Linked DNA regions of Oryctolagus cuniculus. The protein of the gene in region 4 interacts with the protein of the main gene of each other region in a pairwise test. Links are inferred from orthologs where the notes say so. Each region holds a gene or a part of one and is shown on either strand. Other genes may lie near its edges. The genes, in order: heterogeneous nuclear ribonucleoprotein F, RAD51D, GCC1, C7H1orf94, RBM47 and MAPK1IP1L.

The links.
Region 1: the proteins of C7H1orf94 (region 4) and heterogeneous nuclear ribonucleoprotein F interact in binary tests that used the Homo sapiens proteins (3 or more experiments, as listed by UniProt). The two-hybrid records come from large-scale screens. The link is inferred for Oryctolagus cuniculus from reciprocal best matches to the Homo sapiens genes C1orf94 and HNRNPF.
Region 2: the proteins of C7H1orf94 (region 4) and RAD51D interact in binary tests that used the Homo sapiens proteins (3 or more experiments, as listed by UniProt). The two-hybrid records come from large-scale screens. The link is inferred for Oryctolagus cuniculus from reciprocal best matches to the Homo sapiens genes C1orf94 and RAD51D.
Region 3: the proteins of C7H1orf94 (region 4) and GCC1 interact in binary tests that used the Homo sapiens proteins (3 or more experiments, as listed by UniProt). The two-hybrid records come from large-scale screens. The link is inferred for Oryctolagus cuniculus from reciprocal best matches to the Homo sapiens genes C1orf94 and GCC1.
Region 5: the proteins of C7H1orf94 (region 4) and RBM47 interact in binary tests that used the Homo sapiens proteins (3 or more experiments, as listed by UniProt). The two-hybrid records come from large-scale screens. The link is inferred for Oryctolagus cuniculus from reciprocal best matches to the Homo sapiens genes C1orf94 and RBM47.
Region 6: the proteins of C7H1orf94 (region 4) and MAPK1IP1L interact in binary tests that used the Homo sapiens proteins (3 or more experiments, as listed by UniProt). The two-hybrid records come from large-scale screens. The link is inferred for Oryctolagus cuniculus from reciprocal best matches to the Homo sapiens genes C1orf94 and MAPK1IP1L.

What each region holds. Positions count from the first base shown.
Region 1 is NC_091446.1:59,592,951-59,597,224, forward strand, and holds the start of heterogeneous nuclear ribonucleoprotein F, read right to left. Parts: upstream 2,801-4,274; 5' UTR 1,632-2,800; coding exon 384-1,631; 3' UTR 1-383.
Region 2 is NC_091448.1:39,164,661-39,168,591, reverse strand, and holds the start of RAD51D (DNA repair protein RAD51 homolog 4), read right to left. Parts: upstream 2,801-3,931; 5' UTR 2,472-2,800; coding exon 2,390-2,471; intron 2,191-2,389; coding exon 2,129-2,190; intron 1,922-2,128; coding exon 1,803-1,921; intron 1-1,802. Other genes in the region: FNDC8 (fibronectin type III domain-containing protein 8), read left to right, coding at 3,760-3,931. UniProt on the Homo sapiens protein: Involved in the homologous recombination repair (HRR) pathway of double-stranded DNA breaks arising during DNA replication or induced by DNA-damaging agents. Bind to single-stranded DNA (ssDNA) and has DNA-dependent ATPase activity.
Region 3 is NC_091434.1:164,051,311-164,055,384, reverse strand, and holds the start of GCC1 (GRIP and coiled-coil domain-containing protein 1), read left to right. Parts: upstream 1-1,274; coding exon 1,275-2,306; intron 2,307-3,140; coding exon 3,141-4,074. UniProt on the Homo sapiens protein: Probably involved in maintaining Golgi structure.
Region 4 is NC_091438.1:138,422,954-138,426,453, reverse strand, and holds part of C7H1orf94 (uncharacterized protein C1orf94 homolog), read left to right. Parts: intron 1-716; coding exon 717-892; intron 893-3,500.
Region 5 is NC_091433.1:34,409,173-34,413,449, forward strand, and holds the start of RBM47 (RNA-binding protein 47), read right to left. Parts: upstream 2,801-4,277; 5' UTR 2,589-2,800; intron 1-2,588. UniProt on the Homo sapiens protein: Single-stranded RNA-binding protein that functions in a variety of RNA processes, including alternative splicing, RNA stabilization, and RNA editing. Functions as an enzyme-substrate adapter for the cytidine deaminase APOBEC1.
Region 6 is NC_091443.1:21,429,867-21,433,922, forward strand, and holds the start of MAPK1IP1L (MAPK-interacting and spindle-stabilizing protein-like), read right to left. Parts: upstream 2,801-4,056; 5' UTR 2,663-2,800; intron 1-2,662.

The DNA.
Region 1 (4,274 bases), on a different chromosome or scaffold from region 4:
ATGTTTCTCTTTGAATTAGGGATCTAGCACCTTTGAGTTTTCCAAAAAAGTACATCTCCCCAAGGTGTTCACTGTGGTGTGGTGTAAAAGATCCACAATTTAACATACTTAAACTACTTTAACTCAGATAACATCACTCGGAAGGATACTACTAAAATGTTAATCGAGAAAAGCGGAAAATAGTTTTAGTTTACTCAATATCACATGCTAGAAGAAAAGTTTGCATGAGAAAACATTGAAGAGGTAATTTTTTAATCCAGATTTCACAAACTCATGGTGCAAAATGGGTCCCACAGCTTCCTCTAGGGTAATAACTGCTTTTTCACTGCTTGCTGGCTGCCTCTGAAAATTTGATTGAAATTAACTCAAATGCTTCTACAAAACTAATCATATCCACCCATGCTGTTCTGACCACTATAGCCAGCGCCATAACAACCGCTCACTGACTGGCTCTCCAGGCCACTGTAGGTGGCCTGAGCCGCAGACACCCCCATGCCCTGCATCACCTGGCTGCTGTAGGCCCCGTTGCTGGCCCCTGTGGTGGAATTCAAGAAGAGTTCTATGTATCTGTGCTGCATATTGGCCCTATCTTTCGACATCGCTGCCCCAGCTTCTTCATGGGTGGCAAACTCCACATCAGCTTCGCCCGTCACTCTTCCATCTGGGCCGATCTCAATATGCACTCTCACCGCGTTAAGTGGAGAGAAGAAGTTGTAGATGTCGTTCTCGGTCGCTTTGTATGGCAGCCCTCTCATGTGGACGCAGTGGCCGGTGGTGCTCTGCACTGCGAACTCGCTGTCTCCGTATCTGTGGTCGTACATTCCTGAGAGGCAGTAGCTGAGGTCTCTTCCGAACAGATCAGTGGTGAAGCCGTAGCCATCGCTGAGGCCACTGTACTCCTCATAGCCCCCGTAGCCAGCGCTGCAGGCACCAGGCCGCATTCTCTCCAAGCCTGCCTGCTTCACAATGCCAATATACCTCCGGGCTGTGCCAGGCCTGTCATAGGGCCCGGGTCGCTGAACAGACATGAACTTCAGAGGAGGATCTGAGTATGACCTCACTTCTTCCTGACTGCTCTTAAATACCTCAATATATCTGTGCCCTATTCTCTCCTTGTGCTTCCCTAGCGCCTTCTCTGCTAGCTCCTGAGAGGCAAACTGCACGAAGGCCTCCCCTGTAATCTTGCCCTCGGGGTCCACAGGCAAAGTGATCCCGTTTGGCACGATTTCCAACCCTGAGAAAAACTGAACAATTTCTTCCTTTGTGCATCCAAACGGGAGTCCTCGAAGCCGCACGAAACCATCATTAGCGGTGTCAGCGCTGTTTGGACCACTGTGCTTCAACACCCAATCCATCTCGGTTCTGTGAGACTTGAACACCTCAATGTACCAGTGCCCCATGCTTTCCCTGTCTTTTTTCAGGGCCATTTTGACATCATCTTCTGATTCAAGTTCGACAAATGCCTCACCACTCTGCCTGCCTTCTCTAGTGTAGATAAAATGAACGCCTGCGGCCCCATCATGAATCGTGCAGTCGGACAGGAAGTTCTGCACGTCCTCAATAGAGCAGGACCAGGGCAGGCCACGGAGCTTGACCACAAAGCCTTCACCTCCCTCGGGACCCAGCATCATGGACACTTGACAGGATAGATGTCAGACAAACTTGGGTGCAAGTTGTCTTTTTATGGCTTAGAGTATCGCCAAGGATACCTTCAGTAGGAGACACCTCTGGTAGGTAACCAACTGTCCACTGAGGAGAGCTGGCCTGGTTTCTATTTGCAAGAGCGGCTTCCAGCGAAGGACCCCAGATCCCACCCGAGCTTAGACGCGCAGAGGGCTCCAGGCAAACTCCAGGTGCATCTTTTTGTTCTTAACCTTCTTCAGGAAGACGCGGCGCAATCCTGCTTCCACGACGGAATAAATCATTTTTAAAAATGAAAGATGTTGACACACTCAACTTCATTTATTAACCTGTTATAAGCCTATGAACTCATCTACACATTTTTTTTTTTTTTTTGACAGGCAGAGTGGATAGTGAGAGAGAGAGACAGAGAGAAAGGTCTTCCTTTGCCGTTGGTTCACCCTCCAATGGCCGCCGCGGCTGGCGCGCTGCGGCCAGCGCACCACGCTGATCCGATGGCAGGAGCCAGGAGCCAGTGCTTTTCCTGGTCTCCCATGGGGTGCAGGGCCCAAGCACTTGGGCCATCCTCCACTGCACTCCCTGGCCACAGCAGAGAGCTGGCCTGGAAGAGGGGCAACCGGGACAGAATCCGGCGCCCCGCCCGGGACTAGAACCTGGTGTGCCAGCGCCGCCAGGCGGAGGATTAGCCTAGTGAGCCGCGGTGCCGGCTCATCTACACATTTCTGAAAGCTATTTATAGTTAAAGCTATTCTAACTTTTATAGTACTAAGTTCCAAAAGTGTTATTTTTCTCTTGTTGTCTTGAGCAAGTTATTTAAATTTAATGGGCCACAGTTTCCTCCTCTGTAAGATAGGAATCATAATCATAATGCTATAATGAGGACTGAATTAAAGGAGATACACCAAAACAGTACTTGGCACATTGTAAAATATTCAATAAAGGTTAACTATAATTTTTATTGCAGCAGGTAGAACTCTGCATTTATTTGATCTGCAAATATCCCCCTGCTTCATTTGAACAACGTGATGTGTGTGAATTGCCTACTGTCGCTCCCCGTCTTCGTGGAGGAACGACACAGGACCCTGCGCTGTTCTTTCGTCTGCTCGGCCCTCCCCGGGTTTGCTGCTGGTTCTTCCCGGGTTGGCTACCGACCCTTCCACCTCCGTGGAAGGGCGGTTCCCCCTGCCACTTTCCCCACTTCAGCGGGGGAGCGGCACACCGCCGGCCGGCCGGCTCTCTCGGGGGCTGCTCAGGTGTTCCTTCAGATAGATGTTCCTGGTGCATGTTGTCTCTCTCCTCCTTTATAGTCCTCTTCCACCAATCCCAACTCTGCTACCCACACGCCGAGTACGCTGCTCTCCTCCAATCAGGAGCAGGTCCTACAGTTTATTGGTTGAACTGGAGGCAGCTGTGTAGAAGCTGTTTCCCTTCTCAGCGCCATATTGTGGGAGAGCAGATGCATAGAATAAGTCTTAATTCCAGTAACTTAGTCTAGTCCGAGTTGCTCCCAGTTGCTCCCCACACCTACCACTGTGCCTAACTCAGAGGGCATTAAATTAAAATGGTATTTAATAAGCTGGTTATGTTCTTTATATATATATATATAGTTACCTCCTGATTACGTAGGTATCCATTTCACCTTACAAAAGCCATTCATTTGGTCCTATCTCAACAAGTCAAGTCTGAAACAGGACCTTTCATACTCATTTCTGGTCTACAGAATTAACTAGTGTCTGTATCACGTGTGATAAAAATGATCTCATAAAAGTTCAGAAATTTTTCTAAGGTTATTCACCAAATAACTAAGTCACAAGAGTTAAAAAGTATTGAATTATTTTTATAGTAGTAAAATGATAAAAAGATGAAAGTACAATGGAAGGCCTACTCTAAATGTTAAAGTAAGTGATAGTGATTATGAGTGAAATGCAAAGAAAGGCTTAGCTCAGCAAGTAGAATAAATTATTTTGACAAGCAGGTCAATCAAATAAGGTCATCAGTTGTCAAATGGCGTACTATAATCATCAGGTACCTTTATGAAAACAGATGTATTTATAGACAAAAATTAAGGTCCTTTTTAAAGCAAGAAATACAAGAGATTTCAAGAATTTGCAACCTTTTCATCTGGACACTATTAATGACTTCATCAAACTAAACAAATACAGAAAGTTTAATAAAAAGATGTTAATGAAATTTTCTACTAAAACTATGATATGGACTTGTTTGGTAAAATAAAGCAAGCTGCATATATTGCTATTTTTGTATCCTCCTAGTTGAAATATATTATTCACTCATTTAAACCTATGTATACATTTTCATAATAGATCACCCTAGACATCACAACTGAACCATAAACATTCACTATTTATCCTGGATCACAAGGAGCTGGCAAAGTAGCATTCATTTACAAACTAAGGTAAACTTCGAAACATTGTAAGCTTGAAGATTTCTTACACAAATTATTTATAAGTATATATTTATCATATAGTATCCATATAATTATGCTATGTTTTATTCATATGTATATGGGGCACAATAATTTAAATGGTCAAAAGCTTGTAAGTTTCTCCTAGTCACTTTGTTATCAGTAAGCCATCTTCTGTTACTCAGTTTTCCAGCGGCTCTAAGACTCACTT
Region 2 (3,931 bases), on a different chromosome or scaffold from region 4:
CAGGCAGGCAGGCAGGAGCACATCACGATGAAGGCTGGGAACCTGAGGAGTCATCTTTGATTCCTCCCACCTGGCGGTACAGCTTCTCCTATTTCTCATTCAACACATCTCCCACCACCACCCGCCCTGGATCCGACTCACACAGCACCCCCACCCCCGCCTAGCAGTCCCTCCCTGGCCTCTCTCCGCCGCCCGTGCACTCTGCACACCTCTACTCCACTGCCTGTGCCTCTGCTCCCAGCTGCAGGCAGGCAAGGCGGAGGGGCGCTCTCAGAGGCGGGGCGTGTGCCAGGGCTGCTGCTCACTAGCCGCCCCCTCCTCAGCAAGTCGTTTCTTCACCTCCCAAGTGACGACCTTAGCGATAACACGCTCACGGGTGGCTGTGAAGTAACGAAACGACACACTGAGCACAGTGCCCGGCTCCCAGCAAGCTTCGGTGAGAGCCCATCTGTTGCTCCGTGCCCAAGGCCTGCCTCCTCTGGAGCCCTCCTGAACCACTCTGGCTGGCCTACCCTGCAGGGCCGGAGCCAGCTGCAGTCCTGCAGGGCAGCACTTGATTGCTCTCTGCATGTGTGGCGGTTTTATCAGCTCCCTAAGCCCGAGGCCAGTCCACTTCCTGTTAATCACTCCCTCCTGGATGCTGCCACCTCTATGCACTCACTCCTCCTATGTTCGCCGGCTTTTCTCCTATACCCAGTGGACACCAGTCTCCTCAAGGCCTCCCGGGCATATATACCATCTGTATGCACCTGCACCCAGGAGGCAGGCACTCAGCCAGTGCCTGATGGATCACAAACCGGGACCCCAGCAGCAGCGGCAGGCACCATGCTGTATGAATCTTGCCAAGAGAATGTTATGGAAACAGCAAAGGCTAAACCAACCCAAAGACATCAAACTCTGCACAAATAGGCCAGGAAGGAGGCCGCACTCATTTGGCCAGAAAATGCCTGTTGTCTTCCAACTCTTTCCCTCCCCAGCCGATCAGGGCAGGAGGCAGCTGCTCCTTTCTGTTAAGTCCTCTTGTTCTCTACTACTGCAGAGAGTGGAGAAAGGAACCAAGTTCTGGTTCAAATACACCTGGGCTTTGAGCCTCACCTCTGCTACTCCTCTGGGGCCAAACTCAAGTGGAGTTCATGCCTCTATCTGTGGGGTCCCTGATGAGATCACTTATAACCCTATGGTCAATAGATGCGAGTGTAGGCACTCAGCAAATGCTAGCCCTTGGGGCTGGCGCTGTGGTGTAGAAGATAAAGCTGCTGCCTGCAGTGCTGGCATCCCATATGGGCGCCAGTTCAAGCCCCGGCTGCTCCTCTTCCAATCCAGCTCCCTGCTATGACCTGGGAAAGCAGTAGAAGGTGGCCCAAGTCCTTGGGCCCCTGCACCTGCATGGGAGACTCGGAAGAAGCTCCAGGCTTCTGGCTTTGGATCGGCCCAGCTCTGGCCACTGGGGCATTCTGGGGAGTGAACCAGCGTATGGAACACTTCTCTCTATCTCTCCCTCTGTCTCTCTGTAACTTTCTGCCTTTCAAATAAATTAAAAAAAAATTTTTTTTTAAAGTGCTGTCCTTAAGTGAAATGGGAGGCAGGACCACAGAAGAGATAGTCCAATGTGCTGAGTAACAAGGAGACACTGACATCTTGTAGATCTCAGCAAGGGGTGATGTCGGGGTGGGGTGGGGTCCACCATCATAGCTCAGGACGGTCCCCATCTCCCACACAGCCACAGTGCTTCCAAGGACCTGCTCTCTCCAGCCTCCCTCATCAAGGGCTGAGCTGAGAGGCAGCTTCAGTCACATACGAACCTCCTGATGCCCGTGGACAGGATGGCGGTGGAGCTCTTGAGTTCCTCGTAGAGATCAGAGCCATTGATGGGGAAAGCCGAGAATTGAGCCAGCAACACCCGCCGCAGGGCGACCAGGGCCTGCCAAGGTGGGGGGGGGGGGGTGTCAGCTCAGGCTCCAGAGCAGCTCAGACTGGCTGGCCACTGAGAGGGACAACCGGGAACTCAACCATCCCTGGGCCTCACCAGCTCCCCTCGTCCATCTCGGGCTAGCCTCTGCTCCCTTGCCCTGGGCAGGGGCGAGGAAGCCCACCCAGGCTCGCAGCGCGGAGCTCCTCCTGAGCTCACCTTGTAAGACAAGCCAGACTTCTGGGCCACCTCCTCCAGGTCTGCGGAGGCCAGGTCCACCACTGAAAACAAAACACCTGTAGCTGACGGGCAGCGAGGGGGCCAGGGGCTTCCCAAGGGCCGGTGCGACACCGCTCCCCAGAGTTTGGCGTCCCCGCCCCCCGCCCCATGCCCGAGGCTGCGCGGAAAGGCGCGTGTGGCGGGCGAGGGGTGGCCCCGCGGCTTCCCGGCACGAACGCACGCCCGCCGGCCCGCCGTCACCTGTCCTGATCCCGCGGCTCCGCAGAAGCTGGACCATCTCCGGGCTGAGGCCTGGGCACAGGCCGACCCTGAGCACGCCCATGCTCCCCGCCAGCGCGGGACAGAGCGTCCCTGCAGAGCCCCCTTCAGACGCCCCTCGCACGCCTCGGTGCAGCGGGTCCTGACGCACTGCTGGCGGGAGGAAGGGGCTAGGAGCCGCGCCGAGCGGCGGGTAGCAGGAGGGGGCTGACCACCCGCCCCTCCGGCGCCCAGGGCCCGCCCGCCTCCGGCCGCTTCCGGGTTCCAGGCTCGCGCGCGCGGCGTGGGCCAGGCCCGCAGCGCCACCTGCTGGCCACACAGGGCGAGCCGCCGCAGCCTCGCGCCCGCGGGTCCTACGGGCCCCGCGATCCGCGATCCGTGAGCCGCCGCCTGGCGCCGCGCCAGCCCGATCCGGTTCCTGCGCGCCCACCCCGCGCCCACGGCCGCCCTAGGACAAAAATGTTAAACTCCTGGACAATCCTCTACCCTCTGGGAGCTGATGAGTCGGGGAGAGACAGGCAATGAAAAGGACTCAAAGCAATCTGACCGGTACGGATCCTAGGATAAGCACGCAGGGGGCACCTACTTCTCTGTCTCGAAACCTTGGAGCATATGGAACACGCGCACACGCACGTGCGATTCGGTGAAGCGTGAAAATGACTTTACCGAGCGCTCTGACAAACCTAGAGGGAGGCGCTATTCGTATCCCTGTTCCGAGCGGCCTCCCCTGGGAGCTGTGAGCACCCGGGAGCCATCACCCGACCCAGTGGGGTTTGCCGCCTACAGTTTGAGGACAGAGAGCAGCAGCCTCCGCAGCCAGCGTCGCCCGCACTCAGAGACTCTGCCCGGAACCGCCAGCCTCCCCAGCCCCAGGCACCTCCCTCCCCGCCCAGGCGCCTTTTTCATCCTCTATCTCCTTGCAGGGCAGCGCAGAGAGGCACAGGTGTCGAGTGTTCCGAGGTCTTCAGAGGCAGGCGTCTGGGGACACTATGGGGATGATGGCTCCGATGACGGGGTCCCTGCCGCTCATGGGAGAAACCCAGATGGAGTTCTGAGCTCCTGGCCTCGGCCTGGCCCAGCCCTGGCTGTTGTGGGCATTGGTAGAGCCTGAGGGATGCTGTGGTTTGTGCCTGGTTCCACCCTACCTGTGGCTCTGGCCCTTTGGCCCAGCCAGCACCCCAGGGAGCCTCAAACCCAGGGCCAGGCTGGCCCCTGATTGTTACAGCTGATGATGATTGTGAAGTCAGCCCATTGCACCCCCTCCGGTGTGTCTGCTGGCCCCGCAGTTTCTCTCTGCTTCCTGCCAGCTCGGTGGTCCTGCATGGTGACGGCTGTGGTCCCAAACCAACCAGATGGCATCAAACGCACTCTGTAAAGTGGGAGATGGGGAGGAGGCCGTGCTGAAGAAGGAAAACCTCAACCTCGTGAGTGCACTCGACCAGCTGCCGAAGCCCTTTCTGAACCCCAAGTCCATGAACCGCACCGTCACTACCAAAGGACTCCCACTTTCCTCAAGAGGCAGCT
Region 3 (4,074 bases), on a different chromosome or scaffold from region 4:
TGCTAATGTATCTGCACAGGAGAATAAATAGCAAAATCCTGCTTCCTGCCTTCCTTCCTTCGAAAGGCAAAGTGACCTAGAGGGAGAGACAGAGAAGGGAAAGATTTTTCCATCTGCTGCTTCACTCCCCAAATGCCTGCAACAGCCAGGAACCAGTCAGACCAAAGCCAGGAGCCAGGAACTCTTACCCAGGTCTCAGGGACCCAGCGACCTGGGCTACCTTCTGCTGCCTCCCAGAAGGGCATTAGCAGGAAACTGGGTGGTAAGCGAAGAAGCGGGGACTCAACCTGCACTCACATAGTGGATGCGGGTATCCCAAGCGTCCGCTTAAGCTTCTGTGCCCCAATGCCCGCCCCTAAATAACAATTTTCTTGTGAGGTTCCCGGCGTATAGTTCGCATTCAGGATGAACCTCATGGCGGCAAGGTGTCCTCTATCAATATTCGTTGACTAAACTCAACGGAACTATGGTAAGGTGCCATGTGCATTCCATAAGCCAGCTAGGTGCCAAGTGCCGTGTTAGGAAGGGCTGCAGTGTTCATAGCCCTAATGGGAACATTTATTGTTGGCCTTTAGGGACACAGGTCCTGAGCCCCAAGTCCTTGTGGCTGGACGCATGGGTCACTGGAGTGTTTGTTAAGAATGCAGTGCAACGTCGCCCCCTGTCGGTCGCGGATCGCAGCCCAAGGGCAAACCAACTGCGCTCGCTGGTCCTCAACTTCCTTTCCTTCGCTCTCCGCAAGCCCCGGCCCCCGAGGTTCCCGGCAGCACTTCTCCGCAGCCCCAGTTAAAGGAGCCCCGCCCACCTCGCGGCCGGTAGGGGCGGAGCCTAGGGCGACGCGCTGGCGTCACTTCCTGCGGACCCGGAAGCTCTGTGGTCGGCCGGTTGCGGTAGTTAAGAAGTCGAGATGGAGCCACCCGCGGCGTAAACCTGTAGCCAACTGTGGGCCGAGGGGGCCGGCCGGGGCCGGGCCGATGAGGCCCGGAGGAGCGGAGAGGGCGGAGCAGCTTCGAGGCTAGCGCGGGCGCTCCCAGGCCGGGAGCTCCTGTCGCGCCAGCGTCGCCCCGCCTCCAGGAGCGGACCCGCTCCCGCCCCCCTGGCCTCTGTCCGGCGGCCCCGCCACCCCGCATCCGGGCTTGGACACCTCTGTGGAGCAGCTGTGCGGCCGCGGCGGGACAACCTTTTCCTCGTCGCCTGCTGGCTCCGCCCGCGTAGTCGCGTCGCTCTCCTGGACTGCTGGAACGCTGACGTGGAGCAGCTCGGTCACAGCCCCCATGGAGAAGTTTGGGATGAATTTTGGGGGCGGCCCGAGCAAGAAGGACCTGCTGGAAACCATCGAGTCTCAGAAGAAGCAGCTCCTCCAGTACCAGGCCAGGCTCAAGGACGTGGTCCGCGCCTACAAAAGCTTGCTGAAGGAGAAGGAGGCGCTGGAGGCCAGCATCAAGGTGCTGTCGGTATCCCACGAGGCGGATGTGGGCCTCGCAGGTGTCCAGCCTCCAGGCCTCACCTTCTCTGACTCTGTGGATGACCGGTGCTCCACTCACAGCGAGGATAGCACCGGCACCGCCACCAGCCTGGACACTGCGGCCAGTCTGAGCAGCATCAAGGGTGAGTTTGGGGTAGAAGATGACAGACCGGCCCGCGGACCACCGCCTGCGAAGTCGGAAGAGGCCAGTGGGTCGGAGAGCGGCGTTAGCAGCAGCAGTGGGGATGGGCCGTTTGCAGGTGGGGAGGTGGACAAGAGGTTGCACCAGCTGAAGACTCAGCTGGCTACTTTGACCAGCTCTTTGGCTACAGTCACCCAGGAGAAGTCCCGCATGGAGGCTTCTTACCTGGCCGACAAGAAGAAGATGAAACAGGACCTAGAGGATGCCAATAAGAAGGCGGAAGAGGAGAGGGGCCGCCTGGAGGGAGAATTGAAGGGGCTGCAGGAGCAGATAGCCGAAACCAAAGCCCGGCTGATCACGCAGCAGCATGATAGGGCCCAGGAGCAGAGTGACCATGCCCTGATGCTCCGGGAGCTCCAGAAGCTGCTGCAGGAGGAGAGGACCCAGCGTCAGGACCTGGAGCTTCGGCTGGAAGAGACGCGGGAAGCCCTGGCCGGGCGGGCCTATGCAGCCGAGCAGATGGAAGGCTTCGAACTGCAGACCAAGCAGCTGAGCCGGCAGGTGGAGGAGCTGAAAGGTGAACTGCAGGCCATCCGAGAGGAGAAGAATCGACCGGACCCCCGGCTCCAAGAGCTTCAGGAAGAGGCCGCTCGCCTCAAGAGCCATTTCCAGGCTCAGCTGCAGCAGGAAATGAGAAAGGTAATTATCCTCATCTCCTTCACATATCCGTCATTTCGCTTGAAGTGCGAGATAAGAGGGGTTTTGTTTTTCCCTCCTCCTTTGGTACTTAGAACTAAGTGGCTGCACTGTCATTTTTGCTGCTACTTGAAAAGTTGCACCAGGGAGCCCTGGAAAAGCCTTTCCTGCGGTGGTGTTGACCAGCTCCTGGGAGTGTGCTTGCAACAGGATGTGGAGTTTCCGAGCCTAGGCTGGGTCGGAGCCAGGCCCCTCTGAGCTGCTGGGCGTTGGCACTGTACCAGCTGCTCTCCGAGCTGCCATCGAGCGGCCGCTGTGCAGTGAAAGAGCGAGTGTGTGCCTGTAGCTGTGTACCCATGGGCAGGGTAGCTGAAGGCAGCTAGAGGGATTTTCCCAGAAGAAATAAACCATGGTAATTGCTTTCTGTCAAGGTTTGTCTGTCATGACAGTGTCTGCTGTCCAGGTGGAGGGAGATCCAACTCAGTTTTGTACTTCCAGGAATAGAGAAAGAGAAAAGCAAAGTCCTGTAATTTCATGATAGGGTTCGGGGTGAGGTGACATATGATAGACAGCAAAGCTGGGTGTGAGCTGATAGGAGAAAGTGGAAGCGCTAAAGCAGAGTGACAGCAGGTGTGCAGAGGTGCTTCATATCGTTTGAGATGATATGTATTTGGGGGCAGAACCCAAGCAGGTAGAGGAACTTCTGTTGGATCCTGCATCAACGGAAAAATCCCCAAACGCTCCCCTCGGTCGCCCTCCTCCCCGGACACACGCACACAAAGTTTGCCATGGGGCTTTGTGACTTTTCTGACCGTATTCTGGTCTTGTCTTTGGCAGACAGCCCTTGCGGAAGATCAGCTCCGCCAGCAGTCTCAGGTGGAAGAGCAGAGGGTGGCGTCCCTGGAGAATCAGATATCTGAGGTGTCTGAGCTGCTGGGCACGTACGAGAAGGCAAAGCAGAAGGACCAGCTGGCCATCCAGAAGCTGAAGGAGCGCGTTCTGCAGCTGGACCTGGAGAACAAGACCCTGGCCCTGGCAGCCTCCAGCCGGTCCCCTCTAGACAGCCATGGGGAGGAGTCCAGCCTGGACGTCAACGTCCTCAGGGATAAGATGGAGAAGCTGAAGAGACTGCTGCAGGTGGCCGCCAGGAAGAGCCAGGTGACCCTGGATGTGGAGAAGCTCTGTGACCTGGACACGGTGGGCAGCTCAGACGCCACTGATGGGGAGAAGGCTTCTGCGCTCTACTACCAGCAGGAGCTGAAGCAGCTGAAGGAAGAATTCGAACGGTATAAGATGAGGGCCCAGGTTGTCCTCAAGAGCAAGAATGCCAAAGATGGCAACGTGGCGAAGGAGCTGGAGGCCGCCCAGGAGCAGCTTGCCGAGCTGAAGGAGAAGTACATCTCCCTGCGGCTGTCGTGTGAGGAGCTGGAGCGGCAGCACCAGGGGGAGGCAGAGGCCTGGAAGCAGGAGCTGGCCCGGCTGCAGCAGCTGCACCGGCACGAGCTGGAGCGCAGCCGGCTGGACTTCAGGGACCGCACGCTGAAACTGGAGGAGGAGCTGCACAAGCAGCGGGACCGGGCCCTGGCCGTGCTCGCCGAGAAGGACCTGGAGCTGGAGCAGCTGCGCGCCGTGGCCTTGTCTTCTGGGCTGCCAGGGCGCAGAAGCCCGGTGGGGGCCGGGGCTCCAGGGGACCCGGCCGACCCGTCTGCCCCAGATAGCCTGACCCAAGCACTGCAGCTTGCTGCGGGCAACGAGCCCACGTTCTTCCTGT
Region 4 (3,500 bases):
CCATGCTTTATATTATTTCTATGTAATCAGATTATTCATATCTCTCCTTCTTCCTAGCCTTTGTCCAACTATTTCAGTCAAATTTCCCTTCCCAAAAGTGATGCCAAGACTGGGGAAACCAAAGATCCTTTTCTGATCCGATCAGCCTGCAGAATAGCTTTTAGAGAGGGAGAATTCTGGATTCACATCCTGAAACAACTCAACCTTATCCCATTCATCTAGACTGACTTTGAGTCACTCTGCCCTAAATTAGTGTCTTAAAATATTTTAAAAATTATTCCCCTATGGATAACAACGTGTGCAAGATTCTCAGTTTTACAAAGTATATGTCCCATGGAGGGGCTGCTTTCATGATGCGATAAGAATGAATTCCAATGGCGTAGCAGTTGTTTATAAAATGCTGGCTTTTTCTGAAGCTTTTGAAAGGATTTGGTTTTGTAAGTGAAACATAGCTCTAGAAATGACATCCATTTTATTCCCTTGCTAAACTTTCTCCTTCACTAATGAATGATGGAAACTCCAATCTAGACCTTCCGGGATTTCTCTCTCTTCCAAATGCGTAAGGCATGACCCAGGGGAGTCTTCCTAGAGTTGGAAACTCAGCAGGGCTTTGAAGAGCCCTCTCCAGGCTTCACAGGCCTGGCCCTGGGGCCGTCCTGGTGCTGCAGGCCTCTGCCTCCACCACTGACATGCTCTCCCCTTCCTGTGACTTACAGTGAACCCACCTGTCACGGCTGCCGACAAGAACAACATCAAGTACACAGGGAACGTTTTCAACCCACGCTTCGCCACAGCCTTGACCTCAGCCACCCTGAACCAGCCACTCTGGCTCAACCTGAACTACCCACCTCCACCAGTGTTCCCCAATCACTCTACCTTCTCACAGTACCAGGTGAGTGGGCAGGCCGTGACACTCGCTGTGGCCATCCACAGTGGCTCTGGCTATGCCAGGGGCGGGGGAGTGGGTGGGTAGGGCTTGCTGGGACCCTGTTTCACAAAGAGCCCTTGGACTTCCCTTAAAGGCCATCCCTCCAATCGTGAGACTCCATGGGGTCTACAGCAGGGCACTATCAACTTGTCAACTTATTAGTTATATTTGCTTTTTATGGCTGCATCAGACCTACCGCTTGGTAAACACACACGCACACGCACACACACACACACATACACACAGAGTTCTTTTCCACTGCCTGGAATCTGCTTCACTGTGCCATTTGTTCCAGAGGTGCTTTGCTGGTCGTGGCTGGGTAAGTGCTTGGGTCCCCAGGGTAAGATGGTGTCATAGTCCTGTCCATCAGCTTCTGTGACTTTCTTTAAAGTTAGGTAAGGGGCAGCCTGGATTATTTGGGACAGTCTGGGTCTTTGGCCAGAGAATAGTGATTAAAGCCATCCCCTTTCACTCTCACATGCTCTGGTTTGGATGACAAACTATTTGACCACATGCAAGCTGTCTGAACTTTGTACCAGCTGAGGTGGCTTGGCACACACTCTCGATCTTGGGCTCATAGCAAGAAGAGAATTAGTGGCCAGACACACAGAGGTGGTGAAACACTTGTAGCAGCATTGGAAATTCTACTCACAGAACTCATTTATGCAGGGAAAATGTAGTTTCTTTATTTTGTCCATTTAACTTAATATCCCTTAAGAGCTGCCGCCCACTTGGTAGAAGGAGGGAAAAATCAAATAAACGTCCACTCTGGTTTCAACCTTTGTCCAATCCAATAACTTAAGCAGTCCCTTTAGGTAGTGCTCCGTGTTTTTTTTTCAGGAAAGCTGCTCAGCATCTAAGATTTCTCAACCTTCTGTCCCATCCCCCTTCCCCAGCCTGGCTGCTTGCCCAATGCATCCAGGACCTTAGTTTGTATGTCCACGGTCCATGACCTTGGCCATCTGCAGCCCCAGTCTGGTCCGGCAAAGCCTGGAAAGGGCAAGGGGAGAAGGAAATACACCTGCAGCTGCCTGCCTTCCTCTGGGTCCCATCTGAACCCCTCCCCGAGCCCGGTGTCATTTCCTCTTCCTCTGTCACAGAGCAGATGAGCCTATGGCTTCCATGTGCTAGGCAGAAGGGGACCGTCTACTCCATCATGATGCTCGGAGCTGGTCTACCAGGCTTAGCCATGGAATATTCAAGAATTTAGCAAAGCCTCTCTCTCTCTCTCTCTCTCTCTCTCTCTCTATCTCTATCTCTATCTCTCTCCTTCTCTTCCCTCCCTTCCAAGCCTTTCATTTATTTGTTTGCTGAAGGAAACAAGTGCCCACTTTTGCCCTTGGGAAAAGCCTCAGGCCCACCATGGGAAGGAGAGGTTGTAGATAAAAGCAATCTCAGGGGAAACTAAGTATCCGTTTCATGTTGCTAATGCAGTCTGCCCACACAGGTCTGGGGACTAAATAGCACTCGGGTTCCGGTCCTTAGTGCAGCGACTCCTTCACTCTTGCCACTTCTCCCCTTGCATCCTGGGGCTTGTTCACTCCCTGGTCACTCACTCCCCTACTCCCTGACCTGCTCATTCCTCTTTCTTCATTTCCTCATTCATTTCACTGATTCTGAAAGCCTTCCTTCCGCAGTCCCTATGGGCCGGCTGTGGGGCTAGGGGAGAGGATGCAGAGAGGGCTATGAGGCTCAGAGTCTAACCCAAGTTCGGGGCTCCACCGCAGAGCAGCCGGGCCCCTCTGCTTCCACTAGACAGACAATCCCATAATTTTATTTAGTGTAAACGAATTCGCTCTAAAATGCACTCCCAGAGCTCACCACGTAAAGCTAATTTGCCACGGTTTGCTTTATTAAGTGGGGTAGTGTCTCTTTGTTATGTTAATTTCATTGCACTTGACTTTTTGAATGCCTGAGATTTCCTCTGTCTTCAGAGATGCTGGCGTTCATAGGGCAGGGCCAGTTCCCCTGAGGTTCCCCCATTTCCGGGCGAGGTGGTGGAAGGGCCTTTTGGGGCTGAGCAGGCCCAGCTGAAGTCATGAGAGAAGGAGGTGACCCTTCCAGGTGGGGACAAAAGGCAGCATCATTTACCTCCTCCCAGCTTCTCACGGTCTCGTCATGCTTATCTAGCTGCGAGACAGCTGCTCAGGGCCTGAAATAATAGCAAGAAGGCAGGTTTGGAAATCAGTAACCTTGAGATTCAAGGTTCTGCTGCATCTAAGCTCTGTGGCCTTGGACAAGCTGGTTGGCCACTCTGAGTCCGGGTTTCCCTGCTTGTGAAATGGGTTCATCATCATCATCATCACGGCAGTAACAGCAGCACCAGCACAGCACGGATATGGGTGCACGGAGTCCTGGAGTCCGCGGCTGGCGAAGGGCGCTGCAAATCTCACGTGTGATGCAGATGTTGGCTTTTATTATTATGCAGCCCTGGTCGTCCAAGGGAATGGGGTCAGGAGCTCTGCAGGCCCTGAGAGGACAGAGAGGGGAAACGGGGACTGGCTTATCCTGGTCTCTCCCCTGCTTGGCACTGGGAGTAGACATGAGGTCCCAGATCCAATTTACCCAGAGC
Region 5 (4,277 bases), on a different chromosome or scaffold from region 4:
TCTTCCAGATCCTTTCCAGCCCTTGTTAATAGTTAAAAGGGGAAGAATTTTTTCCTTATATGCCAACACTTTTGACACCAAGTGGATTTTTCCACACCAAGCAATTCTTCAATTCTCTGTGGACACCAACTGGGTTTCCTACAATTTAACTGAGTTCTGACACCAACTCAACTCAATCTCTGACCCTTATCGTGTCCCCAGAGGCTGGGTGGTAGGGATGGAAGTTCCAACTCTGTAATCACATGACCGGTTCCCTTGGCAACCAGCCTCCCTCCCTAGGGACTCTCCAGAGTCACCTCATTAACATAAACTCAGGTGAGGTTTACAGGAAAACGAGACTTCCTTCACCTTGTCACTTAGAAAATCATGGGCGTTCTAGAAGCTGTGGTAGGAACGGCATAAAGACCTAACATATATTTCTTACTCTATCACAGTATCGCATTGGTTTTGATTCATTTTCCATCTGTTTCCCATCTTTAGGATATAGAGGGCAGGAATTGCATTGTTTACTGTAGTATCCCCAGCATACAGCGTATGCTCAGAAAATATTTACTGAACCAACAACTTTGTAGTCTTGAGTCTTTCCTCAGCAAACAACAGGTTGATCCAGACCTGGTAGGGAGAGAGATTAAGGGCTGGAAAGTACCAGAATATCTGGTCAACCTGGCTCCTCCCCAGCCACTGCTGGGGACTGAGAGCTGACCTCAAATGGACCTCAAAGAAATTTTGTTTTATCTGGAGGCCTACAATGGGTTGAAGGACTTGCCCTAAATTACACACTCAGTTTACATTTAACACAGGGCTAAAACCAATATTTCCTGATTCTCTACAAACCGAGTTCTAACTTCAAAGAATCTTAGCGCAGGAAGAAATCCTCCAGCCCCTCCCAACAGGACTCCATTATCTCCAATGAAAGATAAGACATCTGGAGCCAAGTGAAATCAATGACTTCTCCAAGGTCGCATGACCACCGAGAGGCAAGGACAGGCTTTATTCTTATACACAGTGTCTCATTGTAATCTTTATTCTGGTTTTTGTACAATGATGCAAGTAACTTTCCTTACTGAACTGATTAGCGCATGCTATGGGGGAGGGGAAGAGACGGATTAGGAATGGGGTGACAATTTGTCAGGAGTGACAAATTATTTAAACAGATGCAAGGCTTTTGTTCTGGATTCATGAATTCATTTGGTGACTCTCTGAGTCCTTACTCTGTGCCATGAATTTTTCTGTACCCTAGGGATACAGCAATGAATAAACCAAGCATCCCAGCTCCCTCTTAGATATTACATTCTAGTTCAGGAGAGGCAACAACAAGTGTGTGTGTGTGTGTGTGTGCGTGTGCATGCACGCGCACACACACGCTATTTATTTAGAGAGACAGAGAGATCTTCTAATCTTGCATCCACTGGTTCAATCCATAAATGCTTTCACTAGCCAGGGCTGGGCCAGGCCAAAGCCAAGAGCCCAGAACTCAATGCAAATTTCCCACATGGGGGGGTGGCAGGGACCCAAGTACTTGAGCCATCACCTGCTGCCTCCAGGGTGCACACCGGCCCCCAGGAAACTGTGCGGGAAGTGGGGCCAGGACTCCCCTATGGGATGCAGGCATTCCATGTGATGACAATTCTGCACCACATACCCACCCTGCATAAATAGATATATTTCTAAATGTCAGGCATACCAGGTTGTCACGGGGTGGGGGGTGGGGGTGAGGGCGGGACAAAGCAGGGAAAGGAGAGTGGCCTGTGGTGGGGGAAGACACTCCAGCGGACAGACCGCTGAGGGAGGGAAGCGCAGGAGTTAGAACGCTCCATCCATACCAGGAGGAGCAGAGGGGAAGGGGCCCCCAGGCAGGCTCGGCAGTGCTGGAGGAGTGGCGTGAACGCAGAGGAGAGGAGGAAGGTCGCCTAGGGCAGCCGGGGCCACCTCCTAAAGGGAACTGCTCTTGGAGGCTCCTCCTCCTCCAACTGGGGCGCCTTCAGGAAGCCGACAGTTCCGCGGCCCGGCCCTGGAGAGCTGCGTTTGCGCGTGGGCTTCAGCGGTTAACAAGGCCGCACATGCCTCTTCCCCTAACTGCGTCTTGCTGTGAGAATGTTAATCTGGCTAAATCCATTCAGCTTCACCGGTTTGGAAACCGGTCACCTGGTGCTCACCGTGAAAGGGGGCGTGGAGCCAGCGACGGCGGCCACGCCCACGCGACAGGATCTCCGCAGAAACCCAGGCCATTGTTCAGCCAGTAGTTTCATGTTGGTTTCTAAAAATAAGTAAGTGTCTGAGTCATCCTTTTCTCAGCCAGAGAGAGCTTTATTCCTTGTTCATCTCGAGCTCCTGGCTGGTGAACTCAATACTTAACAGCCCCGTGGGTGGGTCTGCCTGCCTACGTCCAACCTTGCCCTAACCACATTCGTGAGACGGGCTTTACCCAATGGCCTTCAGTCCTCTGAGCCTTCAGTCCCCTCCTCTGGGGCAGGAGAGCACTAATGCTGCATTTGTTCTCCGGGGCTGGGTAACAAGGCAGCCCGTGAGAACAATACCCACCCGTGTCCCACCACCTGCACGCAGCGCACGGGTCCCGCGCAGCCTACCTGCGCTCTCTGCTCAGTCTCCCCAGACTGGAAACGAGGTGCCGGGCAGCTGCGTGCGCACCTAGAACCGCGGCTCGTCTCCTAAGTTCCTTCTGCTTATGGGCAGAATCCAGGTCCTTGAAGTTGTAGAAGTGAGGTCCCCGCTCCTTGCTGGCTCTCCGCAGGGGGCCTCTCTCAGCTCTCTAAGGCTCCAACATTTTTTTCTTAAGGTCCCTTCAACGATAGGCCAGTCCTCCTCACACTTCCATGTCCCGATCTCTGTTCTCAGTGGGAGAAAGCACTCTGTTCTTTCTTAGGGCTTGTGTGATTAGATTAGCTCCACCCAGATAATCAGACTTTCTGAGGGTCAGCTGAGCTGTAGGACATATTATCATCACCACAGTGAAACCTCATCATACTGCTTTCAGAGATGAGGCTGGGACATTTTAAAAATTTTGCCTATAGGGGCCGGTGCTGTGGCATAGCAGGTAAAGCCGCTGCCTGCAGTACCAGCATCCCATATGGGCGCCGGTTCGAGCCTGATCCAGCTCTCTGCTATGGCCTGGGAAAGCAGTAGAGGATGGCCCAAGTCCTTGGGCCCCTGCACCCATGTGGGAGACTGGGAAGAAGCTCCTGGCTTCAGATTGGCGCAGCACCAGCCATTGCAGCCATCTGAGGAGTGAACCAGTGGATGGAAGACTCTCTCTCTCTCTCTGCCTCTCCTTTTCTCCCCATGTAACTCTTTCAAGTAAATAAATAATTATTTTTAAAAAAGTAAAATAAAAATTTTGTCTATAACAAATACCGTCCTCCCAGAACTTTCTGGAAAACTAGATAATCAATCTATGTAAAATAACCATCAATTTAGTAGTTACTATTTATTACACAGGGTCCTATCAGTACAGAGAGCAGATGAGAATCCAAGCTACTCGGGAATCAAGTAGAAGACCAGACCCCAAAATGTCTATGGCAAATACCTATTATCTTTCTTATATTTGTGGATGTTAAAATAGCATTTCCCGGGCCAGTGCTGTGGTGCAGTGGGCTAAGCCTCAGCCTGTGGTGCTGGCATCCTATATGGGCACCAGTTCTAGTCCCAGCTGCTCCTGTTCTGATCCAGCTCTCTGCTATGGCCTGGAAAAGCAGACGGCCCAAGTGCTTGGGCCCTTGTACCCACATCAGAGACTCGGAAGAAACTTCTGGCTCCTGGCTTTGGATTGGCTCAGCTCCGGCTGTTGTGGCCATTTGAGTAGTGAACCATTGATGGAAGACTTTTCTCTGTCTCCCCTCATCTCTGTCTGTAACTCTACCATTCAAATGAATAAATAAGTAAATAAAAATGGCATTTCCCACATGAGAATTACCCTGTTTTTACTGGAGCATTGACTTGATGACTGATTTTTATGTACTTTAAAGGTAGATACAGAGAGAAAGATCTCTTCTACCTGTGGGTTCACTCCCCATATGCTCGCAGAAGCCAGGAACTGGGAAAAGATGGGATGGCAGGGACCCAACTATCTGAGCCATCACCCCGCTGCTTCCCCAGGTGCACACTAGCAGAGACCAGGGATTAGGAAGAGCCAGGACTCTAAACCCAGAAACTCCAATACCCCGTGAAGAGTCATAATCACCATGCCAAAAACCTGCCTCTGGAAGTGCTGTACGTCCCAGCTTACAAGAAAAGGTTGAGTGCTTCGGCTGTCTTCTGAA
Region 6 (4,056 bases), on a different chromosome or scaffold from region 4:
TACGATGAGCCCAACGTAATCCTGAACTTAAAAAATGGATTTTAATCAAGAAATGGTTTTATTTTTTTCATAAACCTACTACTTCCAAAATTTCCATTACCATTTTATTGCAAAATCTACCCATCATCTGAAAAATTTATTATTTTCTGAACAGCAAGAAGAGCAATTTCAAAACAGTAAAAATTTCTTCTGACATACCATAAAAAAGTGAAACATAACTAGTAATCCTAAGGCACTTAGAGTAAAAATGATACTTCAATCAGGGAGTTTAAGCAACTTGAACTCCATAAATTACTAGTGACTAATGACAAGCAGTACTTCAGAATGTCATCAAATTATGATAGAAAGAAAAACTGTATTAGAATACAATTATGAAACATGGACATCAATCATATTAACTGAGTCTTTTGAAAAGGCAAGGTTGTTGACAAGAAATCATTTCCACACCTTTAAAAGTTGTAACACTGGGGCTGGTGCTGGGCTGTAGTGGGTAAAGCCATTGCCTACAGTGCCGGCATCCCATATGGGCACCGGTTCAAGTCCTGGCTGCTCCACTTCCGATCCAGCTCTCTGCTATGGCCTGTGAAAGCAGATGGCCCAAGTCCTTGGGCCCCTGTACCCGTGAGGGAGACCAGGAAGAAGCTCCTGGCTCTTGACTTTGGATCGGCCCAGCTCTGGCCATTGTAGCCTTTTGGGGACTAAAACAAGGAAGACCTCCCTCTCTCAAACTCTGCCTTTCAAATAATAAATAAATAAATCTTTTTAAAAAAGTTAGAATACTTAGCTACCTTACAGGTAATTAAAAGTAACAATTATCTGTAAGATGCTATACCTAAGATGTTTATTAAAAGATACAACAGATCTCTGTCTCTCCCTCTCTGTAACTCTGCCTCTCAAATAAATAAATCTTTAAAAAATACTATACATTCTGAATAAGGATATATACTTTTTAGTAAAGGATCATTTATCAGATTATGTGCCATTTTTTAAATTTTGGGGCAGTTCCAAAAATTAGAGTTTTGAAAGTTTGAACATTGGAAATATATTTCACTTGGATTCAGAAACTTATTGGCACAACTGTACCAGGCACTGTTGGCTTTGTGAAAGTCAGTGGAGTCGCGTGACAATCAATTCCTGAGAAGTGGTCTCTGCCGTCCAGAAGAATGAGGAAAACGGCTGGGAGAGGCGGGTGGAGGACTGGTTTTAGGGAGAGGAGGGCAGTGTGTGAGAAGCTGGGAGGCGACAGAATCAGTGGGCAGGATCGAGCCAGCCTTGGACCAGTGTGTTTGAGTCGTTTCACCTTGATCAGTCACCTGAATGAGTTGTGGATTCTCTGGACAGAACCACAGCTCCTCACTGGCTGGCTGGACTCTCGACAGGCCAATCTCTCCAAGGCAGACATAGCAGGAGCCTCACCGTTTTGCTCGGAGGGATAAACAAATCCTGTAGTCACTCCCTGGTATACAGCAAACACTCAACACAAGCGCGCTTTTACAACCAGCCCCACAGGTGCATAAGCCTGTCCGTCTTTTTCAAATCACAAACCTCTGAAAATGAAACTCCCAGGTTTGGCACAAAACTTTTTTGGCGGCCACATCTGACCGGAGGCTATTTATGGTTTCTATTCATTCAGATGAGCATTCCCCCCCACGGCCGCACAAATTTTCCCCACGCCGTTATGTCTGTGCGTGTAATGACACGGTCTTTCTGAAATCGATGAAATCCAAAGATTCTGAATTCTGCAAAACATCTGTTCCAAAAAGGCGGGCTGGGCGTTACCCACTGCTTCTGGAGAAAGAGAAAGAACATTCCCCCCCGCACACAGCTCAGCGCACAAGTCTCCGAGGCAAGTCAGGTTTACACGGCGGGGTTTCAGAGACACCCAAGGCAAGAAATTTCTATTCCTCCTGCGACCAGAACGCGACTGAACAAAGAACCCCCGAGCGACTCGGGACGGCCACCTCCGCCTGCGATGAGGGCTCGGGGGACGAGAGGCGACGGTATCGTGCCCGGCCTGGACTCTGTGTCTAGGAAAAGCACCACCAGCGCTGTGCACTGTACAGAGGAAATCGGTTTAGTCCGTGGAAACCCCCACGCATAACTCGCGCTCCTCCACGAGTGTCCCGCACCGCAGCGCCTCGAGAGTGGAAGCCGCGGGCCCCGGCCCCGCGCGGGTCCTCCTCACGACCGACGCAGGCCTCGCGCTCCCTTCTTCACCGAACGTGAATGCATGGGGGTGGGGGTCAGGCCGGGGAGGAGCAGGCTAACAGACCCTCGGGGCCGAACGAACAAAGGGAGTGCGGGATCAACCGGAGCGAACCGGCCTCCGAGCGGGTCTCGCCCGCCAGGGACGGTGGGGGAGGGGCGGGCCCGCTCCCGCCCCGCCCCCGGCCCAGCCTGACGTCAAACGGAGAAAATCCCGTCGGGCGCGGCGTCCGTGTCCCCCGACCCCGTCTCCGCCGGGGGTCGCACACCCCGCGGCGCAGGCGGAGGTGGCCGAGGCGCGCGCTCCGTCTCGGCCGCCGGCGGGAGGCCACGGCCCGCGCGCCGACGGAGACGGCAGGCAGCCCCGCTACCGCGCCCGCCTCCCGCTGCCTGGGCCCGCCACCTCAGCTCCCCGTCGCCCGTCTCCACGAGCCCTCCCGCTCCGAAGCAGCCTCACCTTGGCAAGATCTGAGCCCCCAGCAGGGTCTGGAAACGACGATGGAGCCGAGGGACCTGAGCGCTGAGGAACCGAGGTCAGCCCGACTGACGGCAGCGACGGCGGCGGCACCAGCAGAGCGCGAGGCTCCTCCTGGCGCCGGAAGAGGAAGCGCGCGCGCCGCCCCCGCCCGCGTCCCCCGCCCCCGGCGTCCAGCGTCCGGCGTCCGGCGGGGCGCGCCCCCTGCAGGCCGCCGATGGCACTGAGCGGGAGCGCACCGCGGGAAAGCAGGCGCCGCCGCCTGGGATTTTCCAGGCAGCGCGGCGGGAATCGCTCCCACAATGCAGTCTCCATTCCCTCAGTTCAGCGGGTTTCAGTCAGGCCTGGCACTCACCTTGGAGGGAAGCAAACCGCAGCCTGACCCGGGACCCAGAACTTAAGACCAACCTTGGGGAGAACTCTGATGAATGCGTGAAGTGGAAGATGTTTCCAAGTGGCTTGACACACTGATATTTGCTGTCCTAGCAGATTTTTTATTTGAAAGACAGTGATAAAGGGAAAGAGAGCTCTTCCACCCACTGGTTCACTCCGCCCGGGTCTCCCACGTTGGTGGCAGTCCGCTGCCTTCCCAGGGACATTGGTAGGGAGCTGGCTGGGTGGCAGGACAGCTGGGGCTGGAACCAGCGCTCATATGGGATGGCGACGTCGCAGGTAGTGCCTTAACTTGCTGAGCTACACCACAAGCCCCTGCAGATTTTTCTTGAACAATGTCTCTTCTCACACTCAGATACTTAGGCCAGATGACTGACACGTGGCCCCAGCCATTAAAGAACCTATGTCACACTATGTCATGGTATCTATACAAACACACATATTATGTATACACTTATAGTATGTGTATGTATGTATGTAAACTAAAAGTTTGCAGTACTTACACTTTTGCTTCTTTACGTGAAAGCAGTTAGTGGGCCAGTGGGAAGACATGTGACATTCCCACTTCTTACAGACAGACATCCATGGATATGCTCCACCACACAGTTCTCACACTGATAAAGGAGCAATAGAGGAGCTTCAGTACTTAAGCCCAGGGGAGGCATAGTTTTGCACAAAACCACAGGTCTGTGGAAAATAGCATTACTTGTGTGGAGAACCTACCAGGACCTCTTAGGAGGCACAGTCAGCAGTGCCTTCTGGAGCTATTTTGGGGTTTGAGGGAAACATCAGTGATTAAATTCCTGTCTTGATTTAAAATTTAGGTATTTTGTTGATTGTAGACTTTCTATACACTCATACATTGCTTGAAAATATTATGTTCCTTATGAAGTCTTTTAGTCAAAAAACCTTTTGTGCCCAAGTGGAATACCTCACCCTTCTCACCCTAGTCCTGGCTCTGTGCATCAAAGGGAGGGACAGCC